4 linked regions of the Coturnix japonica genome follow. The protein of the gene in region 1 interacts with the protein of each later gene in a pairwise test. Links are inferred from orthologs where the notes say so. Each region holds a gene or a part of one and is shown in the gene's direction. Other genes may lie near its edges.

The links. The genes of interacting proteins can lie anywhere in the genome.
Region 2: the proteins of ABI2 (region 1) and DTNB interact in binary tests that used the Homo sapiens proteins (3 or more experiments, as listed by UniProt). The link is inferred for Coturnix japonica from reciprocal best matches to the Homo sapiens genes ABI2 and DTNB.
Region 3: the proteins of ABI2 (region 1) and keratin, type I cytoskeletal 20-like interact in binary tests that used the Homo sapiens proteins (3 or more experiments, as listed by UniProt). The link is inferred for Coturnix japonica from reciprocal best matches to the Homo sapiens genes ABI2 and KRT20.
Region 4: the proteins of ABI2 (region 1) and STAM2 interact in binary tests that used the Homo sapiens proteins (3 or more experiments, as listed by UniProt). The link is inferred for Coturnix japonica from reciprocal best matches to the Homo sapiens genes ABI2 and STAM2.

What each region holds. Positions count from the first base shown.
Region 1 is NC_029522.1:11,946,835-11,952,090, reverse strand, and holds part of ABI2 (abl interactor 2), read left to right. Parts: intron 1-115; coding exon 116-240; intron 241-1,185; coding exon 1,186-1,365; intron 1,366-2,017; coding exon 2,018-2,176; intron 2,177-5,256. UniProt on the Homo sapiens protein: Regulator of actin cytoskeleton dynamics underlying cell motility and adhesion. Functions as a component of the WAVE complex, which activates actin nucleating machinery Arp2/3 to drive lamellipodia formation.
Region 2 is NC_029518.1:95,641,586-95,647,502, reverse strand, and holds the start of DTNB (dystrobrevin beta), read left to right. Parts: upstream 1-1,954; 5' UTR 1,955-2,013; exon of another isoform or gene 2,014-2,077; intron 2,078-2,403; 5' UTR 2,404-2,472; intron 2,473-4,015; exon of another isoform or gene 4,016-4,034; intron 4,035-5,917.
Region 3 is NC_029542.1:4,172,714-4,178,496, reverse strand, and holds keratin, type I cytoskeletal 20-like, read left to right. Parts: upstream 1-1,820; 5' UTR 1,821-1,879; coding exon 1,880-2,299; intron 2,300-2,529; coding exon 2,530-2,612; intron 2,613-2,813; coding exon 2,814-2,970; intron 2,971-3,166; coding exon 3,167-3,328; intron 3,329-3,410; coding exon 3,411-3,536; intron 3,537-3,677; coding exon 3,678-3,898; intron 3,899-4,814; coding exon 4,815-4,855; intron 4,856-5,248; coding exon 5,249-5,346; 3' UTR 5,347-5,681; downstream 5,682-5,783. UniProt on the Homo sapiens protein: Plays a significant role in maintaining keratin filament organization in intestinal epithelia. When phosphorylated, plays a role in the secretion of mucin in the small intestine.
Region 4 is NC_029522.1:30,549,019-30,554,873, forward strand, and holds the start of STAM2 (signal transducing adapter molecule 2), read left to right. Parts: upstream 1-1,892; 5' UTR 1,893-2,020; coding exon 2,021-2,060; intron 2,061-5,855.

The sequences.
Region 1 (5,256 bases):
TCTTTTTTCTTGTTTCCTGTTACAACTCTGAAATAGCAAATTGCTTTCTGAGGCATTTGTGTTTCAGCATGCAGAGCAGCACATTCATTTCTTGGGTTACTTTGGTTTCTTACAGCAGCAGTGGGAGTAGTGGAGGAAGCCACCCAAGTAGTCGGAGCAGTAGTCGCGAGAACAGTGGAAGTGGCAGTGTCGGTGTTCCTATTGCTGTTCCCACGCCATCTCCTCCCAGTGTCTATCCAGGTAAATGGAAACTTGCTGTTCCTCTTCCTGTTTCAGCATTACCTTTAAAATTTGCAGACTTGAGGAGGAAGTCCCATGAGGAACCTCAGAATTCATTTTCCAGAAGCATGCAGTCATTGAAAATTGCTTGCTATTGGTAGCGTTAATTTGAATAGAGTAATATTTTTTTTGAGAGTGTCTGAGGTACTGCAGAGTTCATTTTATGCGTTACTTGATTTACAAATGTTTTTTGCCTGGCTGCCTGCATGAAACCAGATAGAACACAGTATCTTTTTTGGTGGGCAGGGAGAAATTTATCCCTTTTAAGCAAATTGATGCATTTTCATTGACTGTTCATGCAGATCTATAGCAGCTTGCTTTTAGACAGTTGGATTAAAAGAGAGGCAGGCAGAGAGTAAATCCTTAAATACACAGTGCAAGCCTAGCTGAGTTGTCATAAAAAAGTGCTCGTTTACTGTAACTACACCTGTCTTCCCAGAAATAGGAAGTGATGTTAGTGCTCCTTGTTCAGCACTTTCGGTGAAAAAGAGCATATAGTTTTGGCTTGCAGTGTGATCTGAAATACATGATGTTTTTGAACCAAAGGAGCACTTTTGTCTTTCTTCTTCTGTATATTTGTACAAAAACTCAATGCAGCTATGCTACAGATTACAGCCTAAATAACAAAGATTAAAGACATCTTTCAAAAGTAATGGCTCTCACTGGAAGGTTCTAGGTTGTTACCTTCAGACCTGGAAAGAAGCAGCAGGTTTGCTTGACCCTCATGAAACTGTCTACGTAAGAATGAGTCTTTCTTTAGTAGCTTCATTTTTCCCTCATCTCCTTGTGCATTCTAAAATACTATGCATCTAGTAAGTAGCTAACACTGAATAGTCAAAGGCTTTCAATAATCCTTGCTAACATATCTCCCTATTAACGCCACCTCTTCCTCCTCTCTTCACCTAGCCCCCGCTGGCTCATCTGGCACTTCTCCCCTTCCTTCTACCTCTGCTCCTGCCCCCACCCCTCCTGCTCCAGCCCCTTCCTCCTCTACCCCAGATGCTGCTGCTGCTGCAGGAGCCCAGCCCCTTGCTGATGGCTTCACCTCTCCAACTCCCCCTGCTGTTTCTTCCACGGCCTCTACAGGTGAGTGTCTGCTCCCTTGTGTGGGCAGATGGGCCCAGATGTGATCACGGTCTGAGGCTTTACAGAGCAAATTTTCAAGGAGTTGCTTCAATTGGTAACTCCTGAAAAACAGGTCTTTGAGTATGATTTCATTTATCCCATCCATTCAAGTGGTTTATAACGTTCTCTTCTCCCCAGATGATTCTCTGTATATTTCAGGAGCAGCAACAAGATATTTAGCATTGTGTTTTTCTGTGAATAAGAGCAAACAGTTTGTACATGTTGTGTTGCTTGACAGCTGGAGTGCAAAGTGATATTTTTTGCAGGTTTATAAATGAGAACTTCTTATAAATTCAGTTATTATAATAAGTTTCATAAAATGGATAAATGAAAGTGATTTTCTTTCACTTTATGGCATATGTACCTTTGCATTTTCTTTTTTGTATGTGTGATTAGTGATGATTACAGGCAGTTGGAGGAGTTTGGTTTTTTTTGTATTGCTGTTGAGACACGCAGTGCTCTGACAGTCCGGTAGCTGAGCTGACTGCTTATAGGATGTGGATTGTCTGTAAAAGAACAGAGATGTTTCCTAGCCTTTGAATTCTGAGTGGAGCTAAAAAAAAATAACAGGCATAATCCTTCCCTTGGTAACACATTTCTTTTTCTAACCCAGGCCACCCAGTTCAGTTCTACAGCATGAACAGGCCTGCGTCTCGACATACGCCACCAACAATAGGAGGATCCCTGCCATATCGGCGTCCTCCTTCAATCACGTCACAGACGAGCCTTCAGAACCAGATAAATGGAGGACCTTTTTATAACCAGAACCCAGGTAAGAAAGGTTATCTGCTGTGATGAATGCAACGCAGGGTTGAATTGACTGACTTTCAGATCTCTGAAATCCTACATTTTGTCTCCAGCTCTTGCAGCCAGTCTGAGGTAACTTCCTGTACGTTGCTGGTAGCCGTGCTGAAGTGGAGGTGTGAGCACAGAGCATGCAGCTGTCATTATGGCACACAGCTCAGGACAATTTGGCTCTTGTTGTCAGATAGATTACTTTTGATCTCCCAGGATTTGCAGGATCTGTTGGACACCCTTCAGTCCTTTACTACACTATGTGTATAATGTAGCTGCTTTGGTGTGGAATAAGTATTTGGTTTTGCAGCAAAACACTGATTCTTCATTAATCAGTCTGTGTGCTTGTGTGCTTTTTCCTTGTGATTAACCACCAGTTCAGTAAATTGTTCTTCCTATATAGCGGTAAGTGTTAGAGATTTTAGACATCAGTGGTGTTTGGTACAGAGTGCAGGGGAGCTATGTCCCTTGTGAAGTTCCATATGTGATGTTATTCTAATGGATGACCTGTGCTCAAAAGCAGGTTGAGATTTTAACAAGCAGTGTTGTCGTGTATGTTGGGGAATTCAGCAGCTGTTCATCTCTGCTGTCCTCCCTGAGCTTCTGAGGAGAAGTGAAAGTATTGATGTGACACTAAGGGACGACTTTTCTTACAAAGCTACAATGCTTTGTAAGAAAATGCAAGGGATGCAAGGGACACAGTGAAAGTTCCTTGTCAGCAAAGTCAAGTCTGAAAGTTGATTTGAAACACTGTAGTGCTACTGTGTGGGTACTTTTGTTGATCATCTGTTTGGCTTTGTTGTTTTACATGAAGCATTGAATTAGGAATTAGGTTAATTGCTGCAGTTTGAGTTTAAGGGATCTGGTCAGGTCCAAATATTACTGCTTGTGAGTCAGACTGTGAAGAGATGCACGTGATTAACTTGAGAAAGAAGCAGGTGGTTCTGCTGGGGACAGAGAGGGTACAGGAGTTTGTATGAGTGAATTGCAGCTCTGTTGCGTGAAATACATGGTATTTGTTAGGCACGTTATACGCATGTTGAATTTTGAAGGGGAATAAATAGGAAGGAAGGGAAAACAGCTATAAAGGAAACATTTCAACATTGCTTTTTGCAGTATAGAGAATTTTCACTGCATCCAGACACATATGCAATTTTAGACAGCATATATAATGCCATTGCAGGTAATAATAAAGTTACCAAATAGACTTTATTTAAATTGTGTAAATGAAGGTCAGTCTGAGGACTCAAAAGGAAGGTAATGATTATGGTTAAGATAAAACAAAGAATGATGTCAGCTAGTGTTAACATCACCATTTTGATTAAACTCTGTGATCCAAGCACAACAAAGGGGTTTTTGTTGTGTTTGCCTAGAGTGCTTGTCTAGAGTGATTTGTCTTTCTACCTGGAAGGCCTTGTTATCTCCTTCAAGGACTTACATGCAGTACACAACATGCACAGAAGGGACCCGGGAGACCAAAGGTAGTCTCATATGGTACACAGGAAGCGTATGATTTCAAGTGATTTTGAATAAGGGAAACATTTTGAAACTAAGTATTTTTATAGTATATGTAATTAAAAAGGTGGTGACTTCATAGCTGGACAGGAACACTGCATTCCTGAATGCTGTTGCATTTCAATAGTGCTTCAAATTCAAGTTCCCTTTTCCTCTTTGGGAAATGCAAGACCAGGTCTTTTCCCAGAAGTTGTGGTTACTCCTGAAGAAATGTATTCTCTCCAAGGTCACCTCACTCAAATCAAAGAAGCTGTAATTAGAAATGTATATTAAGGTTTCCCAAGAAATACCAGTTAAGTGGTGAGGTAATGGAGCCTGCTTTATATGGAGGTATGTGGATACTCTTAACAAAGCAATGGTTACTCCATTTTGGTTTCTGTGTTTATTTTGTTTTGTTTGTGATGTGTGGTAGAAAAAAGAAGGTGAATGTGATTGGCAGAAGAAATTCAAAGTGCTTGTGAAAATAATTGCTAAAATGAGCAAACACTGTATTTTGAGATGTGAATTTAAAGTAACTTGGGCTTTTTTTTTTCCCCCATTTGCTGTGATGAGGGGTATTAATTCTGAAAAATGCTCAGTCACGCACTGTAGCTCTGGGATTAGACTGAAATTTAATTAGCTCACATCAGTAAGGTAAATAAACGTACTGGTACATGAAGTGTAGATTTATTTTTCTCCCCGCTATTCTCTTGGACATGATTAAATGTCTGCGTATGCCACGCTACCAAGAAATGACATGGTTGTGCTTTTCCTGAGGTGTGCTTTCTGGAAAATATTCCAAGAACTTTCTTGAAAAAAAGAATTGTCTTGCATTATCCTTACATGGTGAGACTCCAGTTTTGTTAACTAGAATTAACTAGTTTTTTGTACTTAGAGAATAAGCTCACTTATCTAATCAAGTGGATTTGCACATCTTGCACAAAAACAGCTTTTTCCGTTAGCAGCAAGCCTGCTGCTCAGAGTTCAGTGGTTTGCAGAATAAGGCAGAAAGGTAAAGCAGCACATTGGACTAGACTCTGCTGCTCTGCAACAGCAAAGTGTGCTTTGTTCTACCAGTGAGGCTCCTGGCTGTCCAGTCCAAGGTATCTTTCTGTTTCACTTAAGATTGCCTCATTTAATTAATTTTCTGTTTTATTTTTTTGCCCGTGTTTTGGAGAAAATTAGCTACATCTATTTTCAGGAATAAGGGTTTGTGGATGTTTTAACAGAAAAGACATTCAATTTATAAATACTAGATTGATGGAAGATTGTGGGGGGAGAAACTTCTTGATATATTTGTTAGATGGGCCTGTTTGTGAAGTCTGGTTCTGCTGTAAAGAACTTGAGGGAATCTTTTAGTGAGATTGAGCTTCTGCTTCAGCAGAATCTTGATCTTAGGAAAAGAGATGGGTCGGAAATGTTAAAAATGTAGAAATCTCCTTGAAATAAGGACTGGGAATATGCTTAAACACCCTGAGCCATTGTTCTGTGAATGTCATCCTTTTTATCTCGGCTTCCTGGCAGTGTGCTACATTGTCTGAGTGGCGATGATGTCTACTTTCC
Region 2 (5,917 bases), on another chromosome or scaffold:
TATCTACACATATAGATTAAAGGCTGCAGGGATCTTCTTTGGTACTCAGCTGCTCGTCTGAAAAACACCTACCTTCAGAATTTAAAGTTCTTCAGTTACAACGTCAAGCAAAATGGGACAGCAAATGTGTTACTCCGGTGTCTTGGTGAGGCCACTCTCAACCTAACCTTTTGCTCATGCTTCTTTTGGGCTGATCTCATTACAGCCAAGTGAGTTTAGACTCAGAGCCTTCCGACTTGTGAACACCGGGCACTTGAGGTTGTGAGAGCTCAAGGGCGTGAATGTGTAACTGCGGAAGAGCAGTTGTTGTAATGGCGAAGGATAGAGCAAAAACATGCTATGCCAGAAGGGATGAAAATGGCAAAATACCAGAGGTGGAAATATCTCCTTCTCTGGAGATATTCAAGACCTGCCTGGACACCTACCTGTGCAACCTGGTGTAGGGAACTTGCTTTGGCAGGGGGGTTGGACTCGATGATCTCTGGAGGTCCCTTCCAACCCCTACAATTCTGTGTGAAAAGCAGTCAGTCATACGAAGGAGATGTTTTTGGTGATCTGAGAGATTCCTTCCAGTCTGACATTTCTAATCACTCCATGAACCACGTCACATTTGGAGATGCCGTATGAAGGAGGGTCCGGCTCACCCGCTGTCACAACGCAGTGAGCTCAGACAAGCGATGGTTGTGTAAGCTTCATGCTCTGGCTCTTCAATGTGCCATCAAGAGCTCCCCTTGGAGCAGCCAATTCTGCACAAATCTCTCCTGTTGTAAGACCAGACCTGAGGTGGTGCTGTCCTCCTGCACTTCACCTTTCCGACAGCCAGCGGCTCCAATCTGCGCCATATTTTGCACCATTCATCACTGAGGAGAGGTTTGTCCTTGGAATGACTTTGCTGCCTCAGTGCTGGTGAGACCTCACAGCTGGGGAGCTCGGGCTGCTCCCTTTCCTTGGGTCTCTGTGGTTTCTTTGTGGTTCTTTTAGTATTCTTGCATCACTATGGGAAAAGAAAGAAAAAGAACACAGGCACATGAAAACCCATACACAGCCTGTTGGAAAATATCTCCTTTTACTTCAGATTAATTGAAAAATACACTGAGTTATTCCAAGTCCTCCACTTCTCCCTACAACACCTAACCAACCCCAAGGCTTTATTTTTCTGCTTTTATTTCTTCTTCCCTGCTGCTAAATTTGGGTTTGCCGTCTCCCTTCACACTTACCGAGACCCTTTGCTGACCTCCCCCTGAAGCTGGGCCAAACCACAGCTCTTTAAATGGCAGCTGTGCTGAAGCTGAGTCCCAGGAGGTGTTTTGCTCTTGTAATTCCATTCAGATGCGGATGGCTCCAATGCAGTGGGGGCACAGGGCAGGCAGCAGCGCTGGATGAGAAGAGGTAGAATTGTTTTACACAGCATCCCAGTTGGGTAAAAGGAAAACATAACAGTGGGCTGAATTAAAGTGTTACTGAGAGAGAACTCAAAGAGGGGAGGTTGAGGTTGGATGTCAGGGGGAAGTTATTTACTGTGAGAGCGATGAGGTGCTGGAACAGCTGCTCAATGAGGCTGTGGATGCTCCGTCCATCCTTGAGGGTGTTCATGGCCAGGTTGGATGTGGCCCTGAGCAGCCTGGGCTGGTATTAGATGTGGAGGGGGTTGAAGCTTCACTACCGCCATCTCGACGTCCCCTCATCGCCCTGAGGAGAGGCGCTGACCGCCCACTGCGCCTGCGCAGGAGACGGGAGCGCGCGAAGCCCCGCCGGCTGTTGATTGGCTGGAGAGCACGAGCGCTCCCGAGGAGGGGCGGGGCGAGCTCACGCACGTCCGCCGCCGGAGAAGCGTCCGCTCGCCGATTGGCTGTGGAGGTGAGGAGGCGGGGCGAGGCACGAGGGCTCGCTCAGCCATTGGCTCTCGGAGGCAGAGGGCGGGGTGGGATTGGCCGGAGGGTGCGCGCCCCCGCGGAGACGCTTTGCGATTGGCTGCGCGCCGTGAGGCGGCCGGGGACCGTTGGAGTGGGGACGGTGAGGCGGAGCGGCGGTGGATGCGGCCCGGGCGGAGCGGGGCGGGGCGGCCAACACGGTTATGGTGTGTGGGGGCTGCGGGCATCAATGGGACCGGTCGGATTGTCTATGTATTGGGCTGCGCTAATAGCGGCGGGCTCCGAGAGCCGAGAAACGGGGAGGGCGGCGTGGGGCTGAGGAAGGAGACCCGTCCCAAGCTCGGTGCTGGGAGTGCTGGGCCCTCCAGGCCGTGACATGGGCAGCCCGTCCGTGTACCGACGTGGAGCCTCCCGCTAAGGGTGCAGCATGAAGTTGGGTCTTAGCTTGAGCTGAACGGGGCCGATAACCGGCTGTTTGTCATAGTGGCTCTTTCTTTTTTTTTCTTTTCTCGTGTGGTTGGTTGTTTTTCAGGTCGTCCTTCGATGTTGGCAGAAGGAGTTGAGGTGGCTGCTGCCCTGAGAGGCTCCGTGTGCCATCCAGGTAATGTGGCATCCAGGTAACTGTGGCTGGGCTGATGTGCACGGAGCTAAACAGGCTGTGTCTGTGGGTTCATGGTCAACAGAGCATCCTTAGGGTTGGAAGGGAACCTTAAAGACCACCTGTCCCACTGAGCAGGGACACACAGCTCCATCAGTGCTCACAGCCCATCCAGCCTGACCTTGGCTGTGTGCAGGGATATCCAGCACCTCTCTAGGCAACCTGATGGACCTGGAGAGCCATAGTGCTATATATGTATATGTCATAGTGGTGAGGCTGGTCTCTTTTCAGTAGTGCGTGGGGATAGGACTAGGGGTAATGGGATGAAAGTACAACATAGGAAGTTCCTTTATACAGTGAGGGTGACGGAGCACTGGAACAGGCTGCACAGGGAGGTGGTGGAGTCTCCTTCTCTGGAGATATTTAAGACTCGCCTGGACGCCTACCTGTGTGACATGGTGTAGGGAGCTGCTTTGGCAGGGGGGTTGGACTCGATGATCTCTAGAGGTCCCTTCCAACCCCTACAATTCTGTGATTCTGTGCAGCGCTCCTCTTATTCATAAGTGATTGTTAAGCCCTAGATAGGCTGGGGAGCCCTTTGCCAATGGTTTGTGTGCTGCTTGAGAACGCTCTGATAACACTCGAGCCACTGCCTTGAGTTTGGTCATCAGCTGTGCAGTGCTGCTCTTTAAAAACGCTTTGTACTTTCAGTTTTCTTATTCACGTTCCTGAAACTGAGTGTGCAGTGCGTCAGCTTCCTTGTTCTGCTGTTGGCTGCTGTGGCTTTCCAGGCAAAAAAAAAAAAAAAGAAGTTAAAATTCTCATTTCCACGTTGGGAAATGTGAGAAACGTTGGCCTGAAGAATTACTTGGGTTGGTTTTTATTTGTCCTCCTGCCTTTCATTGGTAAGTGTGTGTGATCCTGTACTGCCAGCTGATATTACAAAGTGCACTCGAAGGAATAGAGGTAACCCAGAATTGTCTGTTTGAGGCTGTTGCTTTCTGTGTTTCCAAAGGATATTTTAGATTAGTGGAGAGTTTGGGTAAAAGGGTGTTGTTGCTGACAAGCAACTGGAGAAGATGGAAAGAATTAATTGCTGTAGGGCAGTTCCAGCTTAGCCCTCTCGTTCGTCACATTATTTGTCAGTACCAGCATAAATAACAGTTGTGAGTGGTATAGAAAGCAGCCTGCTTTTCTTAGCCTTATCACTGCTGCTCTTTAACTTTGTGCTTTTGGGGTGGTGAGATTTGGTGATAAGGACTTAAATTTGTAACATTTATGTTGAGTTATGTTTCGGGTTTTTCTCTCAGTGCCAAAGTGGAGAAATCATGATTGTAAGGTGCACATTTGGTTTAGTGTTTAGATAGGCTCCTGCTGATAACTTGTGCCTAAGCTTAGCTTCGTGGCTCTCTTGCAGTCATGGAATGAATCATAGAATGGCCTGGGTTGAAAAGGACCACAGTGATCATCCAGTTCCCCCTGCTGTGTGCAGGGTCACCAACCATCAGACCAGGCTGCCCAGAGCCACATCCAGCCTGGCCTTGAATGCCTGCAGGGAAGGAAAGGTGCTGTATCATATCTGTGTGCTTTTTACAAAACCTTCTTTAGAAGCAGCTCCTGATCCACTGTGTTTAAAAGAAAATTAACAAACACAAGGGAAAGCCCCCAAAATGTAAAAGCAACACCAAAAAAACGCTAACTTGTGACTTTGCAATGTAATTCAATACAGGCTTGGTCTTGATCTGGAGTTTCTTGATGATGCTCTTTTAAACTGCCATTCATTATGGCTTGTGAAGTTCTTAAGCAAACATTGGAGCTTTGTTTGGGATCCGTAGAACCGGGAGGTGTATGCGGTTCCTCATGGATGCTCTGTTGTCAGGTTGGTGTAGATATTGAGGTAACATATCAAAGCATTCTTAATACTTCTGTGCACCATTACTTATGCTTTAATTAATTCCATTTAGGGTTGGGAACTGAGTCTGAAATTGTAGTTGAACTAGAAGAATGATCAGAATTGTGTAAAATATGCTTTGAAAGAAGGCGTTGGTGGTCTGTTAGTGTGAGTGGCTCTTCTTTTTCTGTCCTTGGGTTTCCATTGAATGGTTTGGGTTGGAAGGGACATTAAACCTGTTAAATGTATGCCCATGAAATAACTACTAGAGCTCTTCCTTTTTCCTGGTAAGAGGTGTAGTGAAGTAAAGAATCATAGAATTAATTACAGAATGGCCTGGGTTGAAAAGGACCACAATGATCATCTGATTTCAGCCCCCCTGTTATGTGCAGGGTCACCAACCAGCAGCCCAGGCTGCCCAGAGCCACATCCAGCCTGGCCTTGAATGCCTGCAGGGATGGGGCATCCACAGCCTCCTTGGGCAACCTGTACCCAACTTTTAATGGATTTCTTTTAATGGAGTACTTTTGGTGGAGTACTTTTAATCGTTTACATGCATTCATGTCATAAGCAGTGCCTGATAGTGGTTATCAGATCTTCAGGGTATCAGAGCTTTTTTTGGAGGATGTCTCACGAGTGGAATTACAACATAAAACCAAATGGAGTATTTGAAAAACAACCCCAAAACAAGAGGAAAAAAGCAGCACGTCCCTTTGATAGCTCAGAAGCTGATTTATTTAGTCCCTAAATTAAAGTAATTAGGAAGCAGTGAGGCAACAGCTGAAGTTGCAGATACGGAACCAGGATGACAGCATTTCAGGCTATGATTTATAACATGGCAGGAGATGCCTGTGGTGGTGCTTGGGGAAGAACAGATGGTGCGATTTGGGATGGTGGCTGTGGTTGGGGCAAGAGCAAGGACTGTGGCTTTAGCTGGAGTTGGATCCATGGGCTCCTCCCACTGATAGAATCACGTAGAATGGCCTGGGTTGAAAAGGACTACAGTGACCATCTGGTTCCAACCCCCTGCTGTGTGCAGGGTTGCCAACCAGCACACCAGGCTGCCCAGAGCCACATCCAGCCTGGCCTTGAATGCCTGCAGGGATGGGGCATCCATAGAATAAGGCAGTGCCATTTGTCTGGGCCGTTACCTACAGCTGATGAGCTCCAAGAAGAGCGAAACCTTGTAAAATAGGTCCTGTAGTATTGGCCTGATGTGCTCCTTCTGTGCTTGAGCTGTGAGTGATTAAGAAGCACTGTGGTGCCATCAGTGGCTGAGCCTGTTGAAGCACATGTGGGGGAGGACAGCATTCAGGCTTTGCTTTTTGTTACGTCATTAGTTTTTTATCCAGCCAGGCTTAAATGATTCTTGTATGTATTGTGGACATGAGAGAGAATTTTCAAAGGCAAGGAAAAAGGGAGAAATGGGAAGAGCTGAAATATTCCATAGGACTTGGGGCTGCTTCTTCCATCACAGTGTGAAATATAGCTTATATATATATATATAAAAGTAAAAATAATTGTCACTATCGTGTGTCTTTGCATGCCTGAGCATGC
Region 3 (5,783 bases), on another chromosome or scaffold:
AGCACTGCACTCACACCGATCACAGCTGCAGACATCAAAATTCATTGTATTCCACGACAAAAAAATGTATGGAGCGATAAAACCTCACCTGAGGTGTCAACTGTACCTGAGGGGAAACTATTTTAATAACTTGGAAGAAGACAAAGCAGAATGTCTACTGAAAACAAACCATTGGAGAGTCCTGTGAGAGATGCAGGCAGAGCAATGCACAGACAGCAGATGTAACTGTAGCAGGACTTTTGCTGCGTTCTTCTCGTGGTTTTAAAGATGTGAGCTCTGCCCTACAGCTGGAAATGATCCCTATTGAGTGCAGATAGAACAGACCCACCCTGTGTCTATAGCAACGGGACATTTGACCTGGCTGCTGGACTTTGACCGGACCTGCCATAAATGCACATTTATGCTTCTGAGTCACACCCAAAGCTCGAGGTCCAACCACAGTTCAGACACCTGAATGTACACTTTGCATCCTCATGGCAAGGAGCCCTGCTCTGAATGCTGCTCGTTTTGCTTTGGAAGATGCACATTTCCAGAGCAGCTGAACTCTGCCTTGTTACAGCTGCACTCAGCAAACTATTGGTAGTTCTGTATCCAATCTGAGCTGAACTGGTCCCACCGAATCCCACACTCAGCTCTCAGAAACCTGAGGATGCTGCCAAGATCCAGCATAGTGCCCAGAGAACAGCACGTCACCCATTGCCTTGTCCCAGGTTAAAAGACCAGTATGTACAGCAGCTCTTTTCCACTAATATAAACAATACATGTTAATTGTTCAACCTGAATAGCCGTACATTATTAATACACTGAAGTACACTAAATGCAGTGCCCCAAGGAACTCCACCTGCTTTGTCCTGCTGCACACCTGCTGCCTGCTTTCATGCAGCACCAGGAACTCCCCCAGCTCTGAGCTCTTTCACTCGATTTCCATTGTATCTCTGCCTGTCACATCTCAGCAGTACATACATTGCAGCTGGAGGAACTACAAAACACAGCTGCTGGGTTTCTTTGTGTGCTGATCAGAGGCAGCTGATTTCCTGTCAAAGGCAGAGCAGCCAGAGGGCACAACGTGCTGAGCACGCTGCCAGGGCAGGAGGGCTTGGAGCTGTGCTGGAAGCTTGGTCTCAGCACTATGGACCAGCATCTCACATGTAAAATAAAGGGAGCCATCCAGGTGGTTCTCATATCCTTACAGCTTTGCCTACTACATTTTCTGCCTTATCTCAACCACACTGCAGCCCAGTTCAACTTCTAAGGGCTTTCTATCACTGAACAGTGTACATTCAATGCAAGCAAACTACACCAGTCATTTTGACAACACTAAGATTACTGTTCTGTGCTTACTGTAGAATGAATGAAGGCGGTAGATACAAATGCCACCTTCCTGACCATTTCAAGACCTTCCTACACCATCCTCAGGCCCAGACGATGGCTCACACAACAGCAATGTACACTGGATTGAGATATAAATATTTAAGGTCTCTTGTCACATACGGTCAACTCATTTTAATTTCATAACCCGCACAGGGTTTGTTCGACAATGGCTCTATAGAGATAGGCTGGCTAGGCTGCAATAAATGATTCAGCAGCTCGTTTGTGTTTTATCTTTCATTCAAAATAAAAATGAATAAAGCTAAATTTCCTGAGCAGTTTTTTTTCAAACGCAGATGGAGAGATTAAAAACCCTTTGCATTACAGAGTGTGGGGACAATGTCCTGCATGTTATTTGTGCTGACACCAATTACAGTATGCGTCAAGAGAGGTGGGGTTTACAACCACCGTGCTTCCTCTTCCAAAGACAATATAAGGTTTACAGAGCACACAGCACTTCACTCCAACTCGCTGTCGTACAGTCAGCCGCTTCACCTTTGCAGGAGGCACGATGTCCTTCTCCACACAGAGCTTCCAGCTGGGTACAGCCGCCCGTTTGCAGGGCACAGCTCCTGGTAGCAGCGCTCTGTCCGTCAGGAGCGCGGCCGTGCAGCGGATCCAGGCGCCCAGTGTCTATGGTGGGGCTGGCGGCTACGGCACCCGCATCTCCAGCAGCACCGTCCGCAGACAGAGCTCCAGCGGTGCCTTCTCCAACATCTCTGATAACGACCTGCTGCTCGCTGGCAATGAGAAATCAACCATGCAGAACCTTAATGACCGCTTGGCTGCCTATCTGGAGAGGGTGCGCTCTCTGGAGAAATCAAACTCCCTGCTTGAAAAGCAGATCAAGGAGTGGCACGAGAAGAATACAGTGGGCATAAGGAGTGACTACAGCTCATACTTCCAAACAATCGAGGAACTCCAAAACAAGGTAAGATCTCCTACAGCCATCTATAAAAGCATAAACTGCAGCTTTGGGGAAGGTAACAATCTACTGTGGAAAAGTAGATCAAATAGGATCTGTCTCACCTGGGAACAGGAAATGCTTCATTCTGGCCAGACACAAATTAGTGACAGACTTTCTAATGTTTAAGACTCACTCAGTGTCCTTTGCGAGCTGCATTACCTCTGCTTCATCCCTTTCCAACCTTTCCTTTTTAGATCAGTGCTGCACAGTTGGAAAATGCAAGGCTTGTCCTGCAGATTGACAACGCCAAGCTGGCTGCTGATGATTTCAGACTGAAGTAAGTTCCACGCACTGCCTGCACTCCTTCATGCTTCAGTTATTCAGGATAACATCTAGTTATTAGTATCAAAGCTGAGAAGTAAACCACAGAGCTCAGTAAAAACAAATACTTTAGGCCTCGGGCTGTAGAAGTTATTGATTTGATGTTTCTGTCAAACTGCTGCACTTCTATGGTGGCGAAAGAAGCCTTGTTTTACAGGTATGAAAATGAGCTCTTGCTCAGGCAAAGTGTTGAGAGTGACATCAATGGGCTCATGCGAGTCCTTGACGACCTGACCTTAACCAAGTCAGATCTGGAGGCACAGATTGAAAGCGTGAATGAAGAAATCATTTTCCTTAAGAAGAACCATGAAGAGGTGAGAGCAGCAGAACAGTGTCATCATTTCTTTTTTGTCAGAGGCATTTACAAATTAAATTTAAGAGTTAAATTAAGAGCTAAATTTAAATTTAAGAATTAAGAGTTGCTCTGTTTCTGTATTTCTGAGCTTCTGCCCAATATTTGGGCCTGGAAGTTCACTTTAGCTGATGCTAACGCAGTGCTCAATGTTGTAGGAGGTTGAAAGGCTGCGCAAACAAGTGGGTGGCTCGGTTAACGTAGAGGTGGATGCTGCTCCAGGTGTTGATCTTGCAAGTATTATGGAAAACATGAGACGGCAGTATGAAGAAATGGCAGAAAAGAACCGCCAAGAAGCCAAAGAACGATTTGAAAAGCAAGTAAGGTCAATTGCTTCAACACCAGCGAGAGCCTCTGTCATGTCTGGTCACAGCTCACAGTCCTTCCATTTCCATATTTCAGACAGAAGCACTGAACCAGGAAGTAGCAATCAATGTAGAGCAGCTGCAAGAACAAAGGAGAGAGGTCACAGATCGGAGACAGATCTCCCAGAGCCTGGAGCTGGAATTACAGACCCATCTGAACATGGTGAGTGATGAACAGTTCTTGAAATAAGGGCTGTGTTTATAGAGATAACAACAAAAACTGGGACATATTTCAAAATGTAATTTTAAGGCCAAGATGTATCCTCTTGAACAATAAATCTCTGTTCTTTTTCACCAACTGTAGAAGAAGACTCTGGAAGATTCTCTGGCTGAAACTGAAGCACGTTACAGTTTTCAGTTGGCTCAAATCCAGGAAACAATTGCCAGGTTAGAGGCTCAGCTCAGGCAGCTGCGGGCTGACATGGAGGGGCAGAACACGGAGTACAGCATCCTGCTGGACATCAAGACTCGCCTGGAGATGGAGATCGCCACGTACCGACGTCTGCTGGAAGGGGAGGACATCAGGTGAGGAAAGGGGCTCCGGCAGCTTTGCACCACTGACAGCAGTGCAAATGAGCTCTAAATTCTCAGACAGAAACGGTGGTAAAATCTGCCTATTGGCAACTGGTTTTTGAAGGAAAAAAGTCTGCCTGCTGCCCGGCTCTCAGCTGTAGGCTCCAAGTCTGTGCTCCTTCAGAGGCTGCTGCAGTGTTCAGACCAGTCTATGCCACCCTCTGCACGGGTACACACTGTTACTCTTCTTGAATTGAGTATCTTGACAGCCGCCCACACTCCATGAACAAAAGTGATGCAGTTTTAGATAAACTTTTCCATAACTGTAATGACAGAAACTCAGGGCACATCATTTTAAACTGCTTTTGGTAGCATGAGCACCTGACCACATCAGAGCAAGGCACTCAGTGAGCGCACACTGACCTCCTGCAGTCTATGGCAAGTCTGGGAGCCCGTGCAGGATTCCATCCTGCTGCACTTCTGCCACCAGTAGCTGAGCCACTTATATACGTAGGAGGTGCAAATGAGCTGACATTTACTGTCTGGAAAGTCCAGCATCCCTTGCTCTGCAGTGCACAGAGGTCTGTGAAAGAGTGCAGAGCAGCACAAGCAGACAGCGCTGCTTCCCTCAAAGGTCCTATGGTTCAAAGGTCAGTTCTGGCTCAGGAACCAGGCCGGGCAAATCCTCCTGAGCTGAAGTTGTAACACTGCAGAAATTAGCCTGCAGGTGAATTTCACCTATAGCTGACGCTTAACAAAATTCACTTTAGTACTGAAAACTCATCTAAACACGTGACAAGGGCTGAACTAAAGTCTTGATGAAAGGAAATATACCTGTTTATATTAAAGGTGCAGAAAACATGCCAGGTTGTTTCTTCACTATGTCAGGCATAATATACTTACATTTTTCTGTTTAAAATCCGAACAGGGTTGTCCAAGAGGATATACTTACAAATGAACTTGAAAAAGGTATGTTGCACAGGCATGTGCTTTTGATGGCTTCCTGTTTAAATGTTATGGAATTAAGCGGGCTGATTTCAAAAAGTGCAGTTTCAGAGCAAATAATCAACTGGTGAAATCTTAAAACAAGAAAACAATCAACTGTATGAACAGGTAACCTCCAGGGATTATACAAGCCCTGCTTTATGTAAGTAACCCAGGTGCCAGAGGTAAAACCACAGGCTTCTCAAAGGGCCAGATGGATGGCAAAGCCATGGAATTCCTTTCCAAGGGCTTTCAGAGGTGTCTGCTTCTCTCCACTGACTGCACAGAGATTGGGCTCCTAAACGAAGTGCACACACTTTAACATTCTGTCAATGCACACTGCATTTTTATTAATTTACTGTTCAATTTCATTACCAGAATCAAGTAAAATTAAGAAGATCAAGACAATTGTTGAAGAGGTGGTTGACGGCAAAGTCGTGTCCTCTCAGGTTAAGGAGATTGAGGAGAAGATGTGAGCAGCACCAGCGGAGGGAGAGCACCAAAATGACACCATTAAACTTCATAAGGAAACCAATTTAATTCTCCCTGAAATCAACAAGGGTTGAAAAATGCCAAATCCTCAAGTCTCAGACAATCCAGGTTTTCATCTTTGTGTGTGTTTGTTCATTTTATTAATAAAACCAATAACATGTAGATTTACATTCAAAACTGTATTAAAATGTTGATTCAGTGCATCTCTTCTGAACGTGAACTATCACTGCGGTGCACTGGAGACTCACTTCAATAAATGTGATTTCCAAATAAGAAACGTCAATTGCCATTTCATAATAAATTAAAATGCAAAACTGAAGAAGTCTTCTCATTAATTGTCCATCTCTGGGGATTTCTGTATTGCCAAAGATCACCCATAGCATAAACTGCCCATCGGTTCTCAACTAGAAGAGTACTGCAT
Region 4 (5,855 bases), about 19 Mb from region 1:
ACTGCCAGGTCTGGAGTCAGGAAAAACAAGTTCAGAAGTAACTTTATTATTATTATTATTGTAATTTTTCTGTCCTCCTCAGCAGCACTTCCTCAGAGTTCTTAATATGAATAGCTTGTTCCTGCAGGACTCAAGATAATTGGCAGTGCCCTAATTTTTTTCTTCCCTTGTCTTATTATTGTGGATTTAATTATTTATTGAGGAACTCAGGTTCATTAAGCACCACTGGGAAATACCCTGAGGCTCTGGTTGTGGTGTCACCTAGAGAAGGAGCTCTGCAGGCACTTCTGTACAAGTATTTGGAGCTGGGGGAACTCAGACTCAGCACCACAAGTCCTGCCTCATTCTTCATTTCTAGGAAGTGGGCCAGTAATATGGTGCCCCACCGCAGCCAGGTAAAAAGCGAAGCAAATGTTTAGGAGCTGATTCATCCTATGCAATACCAAGGTGACCGTAACAACATTGCAGGATGGTAAGAAGTGACAAAATAGCCATTTACTTGCCTGGGCAGCTGCTGCGATAACTGCACCACACGCAGTCTTCTCTGTGGAGAAGAACAGAGCTGAAGTTAATACAAATGAGAACTCATTGTCTTCTATAGAACTCATTACATTTTTCTATTTCAGCCAGTCGACATTAGTGTTTATTGCATTTCTTTACAGATCACAAAATCACAGAATGACGCGGGTTGGAAGGGACCTCAAGGATCATGTAGTTCCAACCCCCCTGCCTGACAGGGCCACCAAATATACACATTTACTAGATCAGGTTGCCCAGGAGACCCCATAGACCCCATAGAGACCCCATAGACCCCATAGACCCCATAGACCCCATAGAGACCCCATAGACCCCATAGAGACCCCATAGATCAGGTTGCCCAGGGCCCCATCCAAACTGGTCTTGAACACCTCCAAGGACGGGGCATCCACAACCTCCCTGGGCAGCCTGTTCCAGGGCCTAACCACCAATTGATTCGTCCTGTCTTTTTAAGGCAATCAAACAAATTAATGACGTTTTGACTCCGCTTGATTCACTACGTGAAATCATCAGTTTCGACTGAATTCGTAAATTTAAGGTCGAAGGAAAAACACTCCGTTTTGTCATCAAAATCCTCCAAAGTGGGAGAGCGGTGCCACCTGCAGACTGCTCCAACACAGCCACCAGCACAACGGGAGCTCCGTCCCACACCGCAGCCCGTGAGTCATTAAGCTGCTATAGAGGCAGCCACAGAGCCAGCAAAGCTAGAGGGCATTTGATAATTAGCCCGATGTGGTTAGAAATAAACGCAAACTGCCTTCATTTGTCAAGAAACGTCCGTGTGTGCTTCAAGTTAGACTCCATTTCTCATATACAATCCAGAAGTCCTTGAAAGTATTCACAGAATCACAGAATGAGCCGGGTTGGAAGGGACCTCAGGGATCATGTAGTTCCAACCCCCCTGCCTGGCAGGGCCACCAAACATACACCTTTACTAGATCAGGTTGCCCAGGAGACCCCATAGATCCCATAGAGACCCCATAGACCCCATAGATCCCATAGAGACTCCATAGACCCCATAGATCCCCATAGAGACCCCATAGATCAGGTTGTGCCCATGGCCCCGTCCAACCTGGCCTTGAACACCTCCAAGGACGGGGCATCCACAACCTCCCTGTGCAGCCTGTTCCAGTTCCTAACCACTCTCCTAGTGAAGAACTTCCCCCTAACATCCAACCTAAATCTTCCCTCTTTTAACTTAAAACCATCTCCCCGTGTCCTGCTATTGTCAGCCCTTTCGACAACCCAGTTACAGGGGGATGAGAAGTGAACATCACACACACCCCTCTCTCCTCCCGTCCCGCCTCAACATGGCTCCTCCCAGCCGTGACGAAGGGCCGTGGCCGAGGCGCCGAGGTGCGGGGCCCGCCCAAACCCCGCGAGGTCCCCGGGCTGCCCCGGCCGGTGCCTGATTCTCCCCGCCGCATTCGGCTTTGGGGCCCGGTGTGAGGGGCCGGAGCGGGGCCGGGCGGCCGCCGTGGAGATGCCGCTGTTCGCGTCCAACCCCTTCGAGCAGGACGTGGGTGAGTGAGCGGGGAGCGGTGCGGAGCTCGGCGGGACGCGGCTGGGCTCGGTGCAGCGTTGGGCCTGTGAGGGGTGAGCGGCGGCGATGCCCGGCCGTATCTCGGGTCGGCGGGTCGGGCTGGGATTGTGGAGGCCAAGATCGGCCTTGGTGGTGCCGGCGGCGGGATAGCGCCCACCGGGTGTAAGAATGGACACAGCCCCACTTCGGCCCGAGCCGCCGCTCCGTTCCATTGCAAAACCGGGGGCTGGTGCGGCCGTGACTCAGCCGGGCTGGTCCGGGTCGGGTCGTGATCCAGCGCTGCCCTCGGGGACATCCAGCTTGTGCCGTGTCTTGTTGTTGGCTTTTTGTTCTTTAAAGGCCCGCTGCTGAGCTGCAACACAGCAAAAGCAATTAAAATTTCCCCCGTCCTTGGAGGTGTTCAAGACCAGGTTGGACGGGGCCCTGGGCAACATGATCTAGTAAAGGTGGCCCTGCCAGGCAGGGGGGTTGGAACTACATGATCCTTGAGGTCCCTTCAAACCCGGGTCATTCTGTGATTTCCCAGGGCTTTAGGTACGAGAAGAGTTTTGTCATTGCCGAATCGTGGAACCAGAGGAGTTGGAAGGGATCTTGGAGCTCCTCCAGCCCAGTCCCCTGAGAGCTGGTTCCCCAGAGCTCATTGCAGGTTCCCTAGAGCAGGATTCTGGCCACTGGCAGGAAGAAGTGGTGGCTGTCAGTGCTCACGTTAACACCCCAGTTCCTTGTGGTGAGTGTAAGTCCTGCTCCTCTGCTCTGTGCTGGTGAGGTTTCACCTGGAGTGCTGCGTCCAGATGTGGAGCTCTCGGTACAGGAGGGACATGGAGCTGCTGGAGAGTGTCCAGAGGAGGGCTACAAAAACAGTCCACAGGATGGAATGGAACACTTCTCCTATGAGGACAGGATCAGAGAGCTGGGGCTGTGCAGCCTGGAGAAGACAAGGCTCCGAGGTGACCTGATAATAGTGGCCTCTCAGTGTCTACAGGGGAGCTACAGGAAGGAAGGGGATGGACTCTTTAGCAGGGTCTGTGGTGACAGAACAAGGGGAAATGGCACTGAGCTTGAAAAGGGTAGATTTAGGTTAGATAAAAGCCTTTTACAGTGAGGTTAGTGAGGTACTGGAACAGTGGTGTGGTTGATGCCCCATCCCTGGAGACTGTCAAGGTAAGGCTCAATCAGACCCTGGGCAATCTGACTTAGCTTGGTGCCCCTGTTGGTTGCGAGGGAGCTGGACTAGATGGCCCTCAGAGGTCCCTTCCAACTCTGAGGTTTCACTGTTATCTTCGTGTGCCTTCAAAGTTTGTTTATTGAAGGCTTTGCCTTCAGTTCTCTTTGATGTTGACCTGTGGCTAAAATGAAGTAGCAGCCGCTTAGGCCAGCTGTACTTGTTTCAAAGAACTTGTGTGTGTTCTGTACCTTTCTCATAGCTCTGATGTATTTGCACAAGTGAAGACTTCTTGAACTGGGGACTCACGGCTGTACAAAATCCTTTGTCAAAACTGAAAAGCTGCAACAGCTCTAAAAGCATAGGGCTGCAAAGTGATGGTCAGTGTGCCTCTAGTTTCTTAAACTCTGTATTATACATAGCGAGTAGAACTGCTCACACATGCTGCTATGAAACAAGAGCAGTGGGCTGGGAATTTCATAGTTATTGAGGCTAAATCTCGCAGTGCCTTGCTAGGAAGAATCTACTTTTGTGCCACTAGGAGCTTTTTTTTCTTTCAGCTATTATTACTTAGTAAATCAGACAACACGGAGCAGCAAATAACTGAACACTGTTGTTCTGTACTTTCCCTGGTGGTACTCACCTCAGGCTGCTCATGCTGCTGTCGAGCTTTAACTTTGTGATTCGAGGTTTTATTTTCTCATTCATCTTTTTGATTTATAAATAATAAAGGTGCGTACCACGAGGGCAGTCGAGCTCTGCTGATGTCCTGATGCTACTGGGAAGGAGAGCTCTTCCATCTTCTTGTCCACTCAGGTGCTGTGGGTTGCTCTCTGGGCTGATTCAGTGCATTCTCTTCAGCAGAAAACAGATTGCAGTGGAGTGCTTGGCTGACAGTTGGGATCATCTGTGAAGGCGATGGAGTTTGGAGGCTCGGATCAGCTCATCAGAGGCTGCAAAGTGGCAGTGAGGGGCAGGGCTCCCTGGGAAGGTTGAAGCCCTACTTCTGCTGGCAGCAAGAAATTGGGTTGGTTTGGATATCTGTTCAGGCCATGCCTTCGGTATTGCAGCTTTCTTGGGAGGGGGCCTTTAGAAATTATAGATAAACACAGCTGCAGCTGTTGTTTTCTTAGTTCTGAACTTGTGTTTGCTTTGCAGTAGATCTGCATAGGGTCTTACTTCCTCAGCATTTGCTTTGGTTGCATTGTCTATAGTTGCAGTTCCATGAGATGAACCTATGGGATAGTTTCAGGAGTTCCATTTCTCTCACCTGTGGGTTTTTTAAAGATTCTTATTATTTCGGTAGAGAGAAGTGGTGTTTTTTTTTTTAAATTCTTATTATTTTGGTAGAGAGAGTGCCACGAGACTTGAGTTCTTTAAAGGGTTTGGAACATTTTAATTTCCTATCTAAATCTATTCATCATTAGTTCACACACACTCGCTGTTTTCCCCCATTGTCAGCCTTCTTAAATAACCTTCATCTTCTAAAAGTAGTTGCTCCTCCAGCAGAGGACAAGCCTCCTGCTTTTCATCCTTTGTTTAGTCAGCGTTATTGGTGAGGTTGTTAACACAATCAGGGAGGTTGGAAGTATTTGTGTAGTTTGACTGGCATCCAGAATTACATGCCGTGTCACAGGTTGTTGGGAACTCCTATGATCGCATTTTGTGTTTCCTTGTTCATTGCTGGAGCATTTACCGGCTGTGTTGTTATATTCTAGTGTTATATTTGCCTTCTTGTTTCTGCTTCATGTGCTGTTCTTCATTGTCTTGTACTTGCACTTGGCATGCTCGTGCTTCTCCTCTTGTTTCCAACCACTGACATCTTGTTCCTAGGAGGATCTTTGATACACAGGCTGTGTGGGTTTGCATTTTGTCCTGCTGCTGTCTTGGTCTGTCTAACCCACTCCTCAGTAGCCTTCTCCTTATGTGACGCTTTAGTTTTCCCTGTTGCTGATAATACCTTCCAACTCCATTAGCTTCCTTTGCAGACCCTTACTCCTGCTGTCAGTGCCTGCCAAAACACGTTCATTTCATGACTAATTCTTGAGGCGTTGGGCTCCCTACCCTCTTCATAGTGCTTTACATCACTATGTGTCTTCCTTATAATGTGGAGCGATCCAAGAACTGTAGCTGATAACTCACACATGGTTTCCTGTGAAATATTTCACTGAGTGCAGGACAGACCGGTTGATGCTTAAATTAACCCTTGGCAAGGAGTCCTGCCTGGAGGAATAGCTGCCTTCTGTTGAAATTCACTGTGGTTCCATTGCATTTCTCAGCAATAATTCACGTCCTTCATGTTTGCTCTAAGGTCTCGCAAATGTTTGTGGACAAGCTAATTGCTGTGGGGTTTTCACTGTCGCTCGGGTCTTTTTCTCTTCTTTAAATCTTCCCAAGTCTTCAGTCCATGACTTTACTTTGATTGGGGTGATACAAATTCTTGGTGTCAGTTCTTTCTCATTACCAAGATTGCTGCTCCCAGCCTCAGCCCTGCCTCGATCGCTGCATGTCTGTAGTGCCCACGTTCCTAAGCAGTAATGAAGTCACAGCTGGGTTATTATATTTTTGCCTTTTCACTAATTTGGTTATACAAGGGCAAAGCAAGCAGAAGGT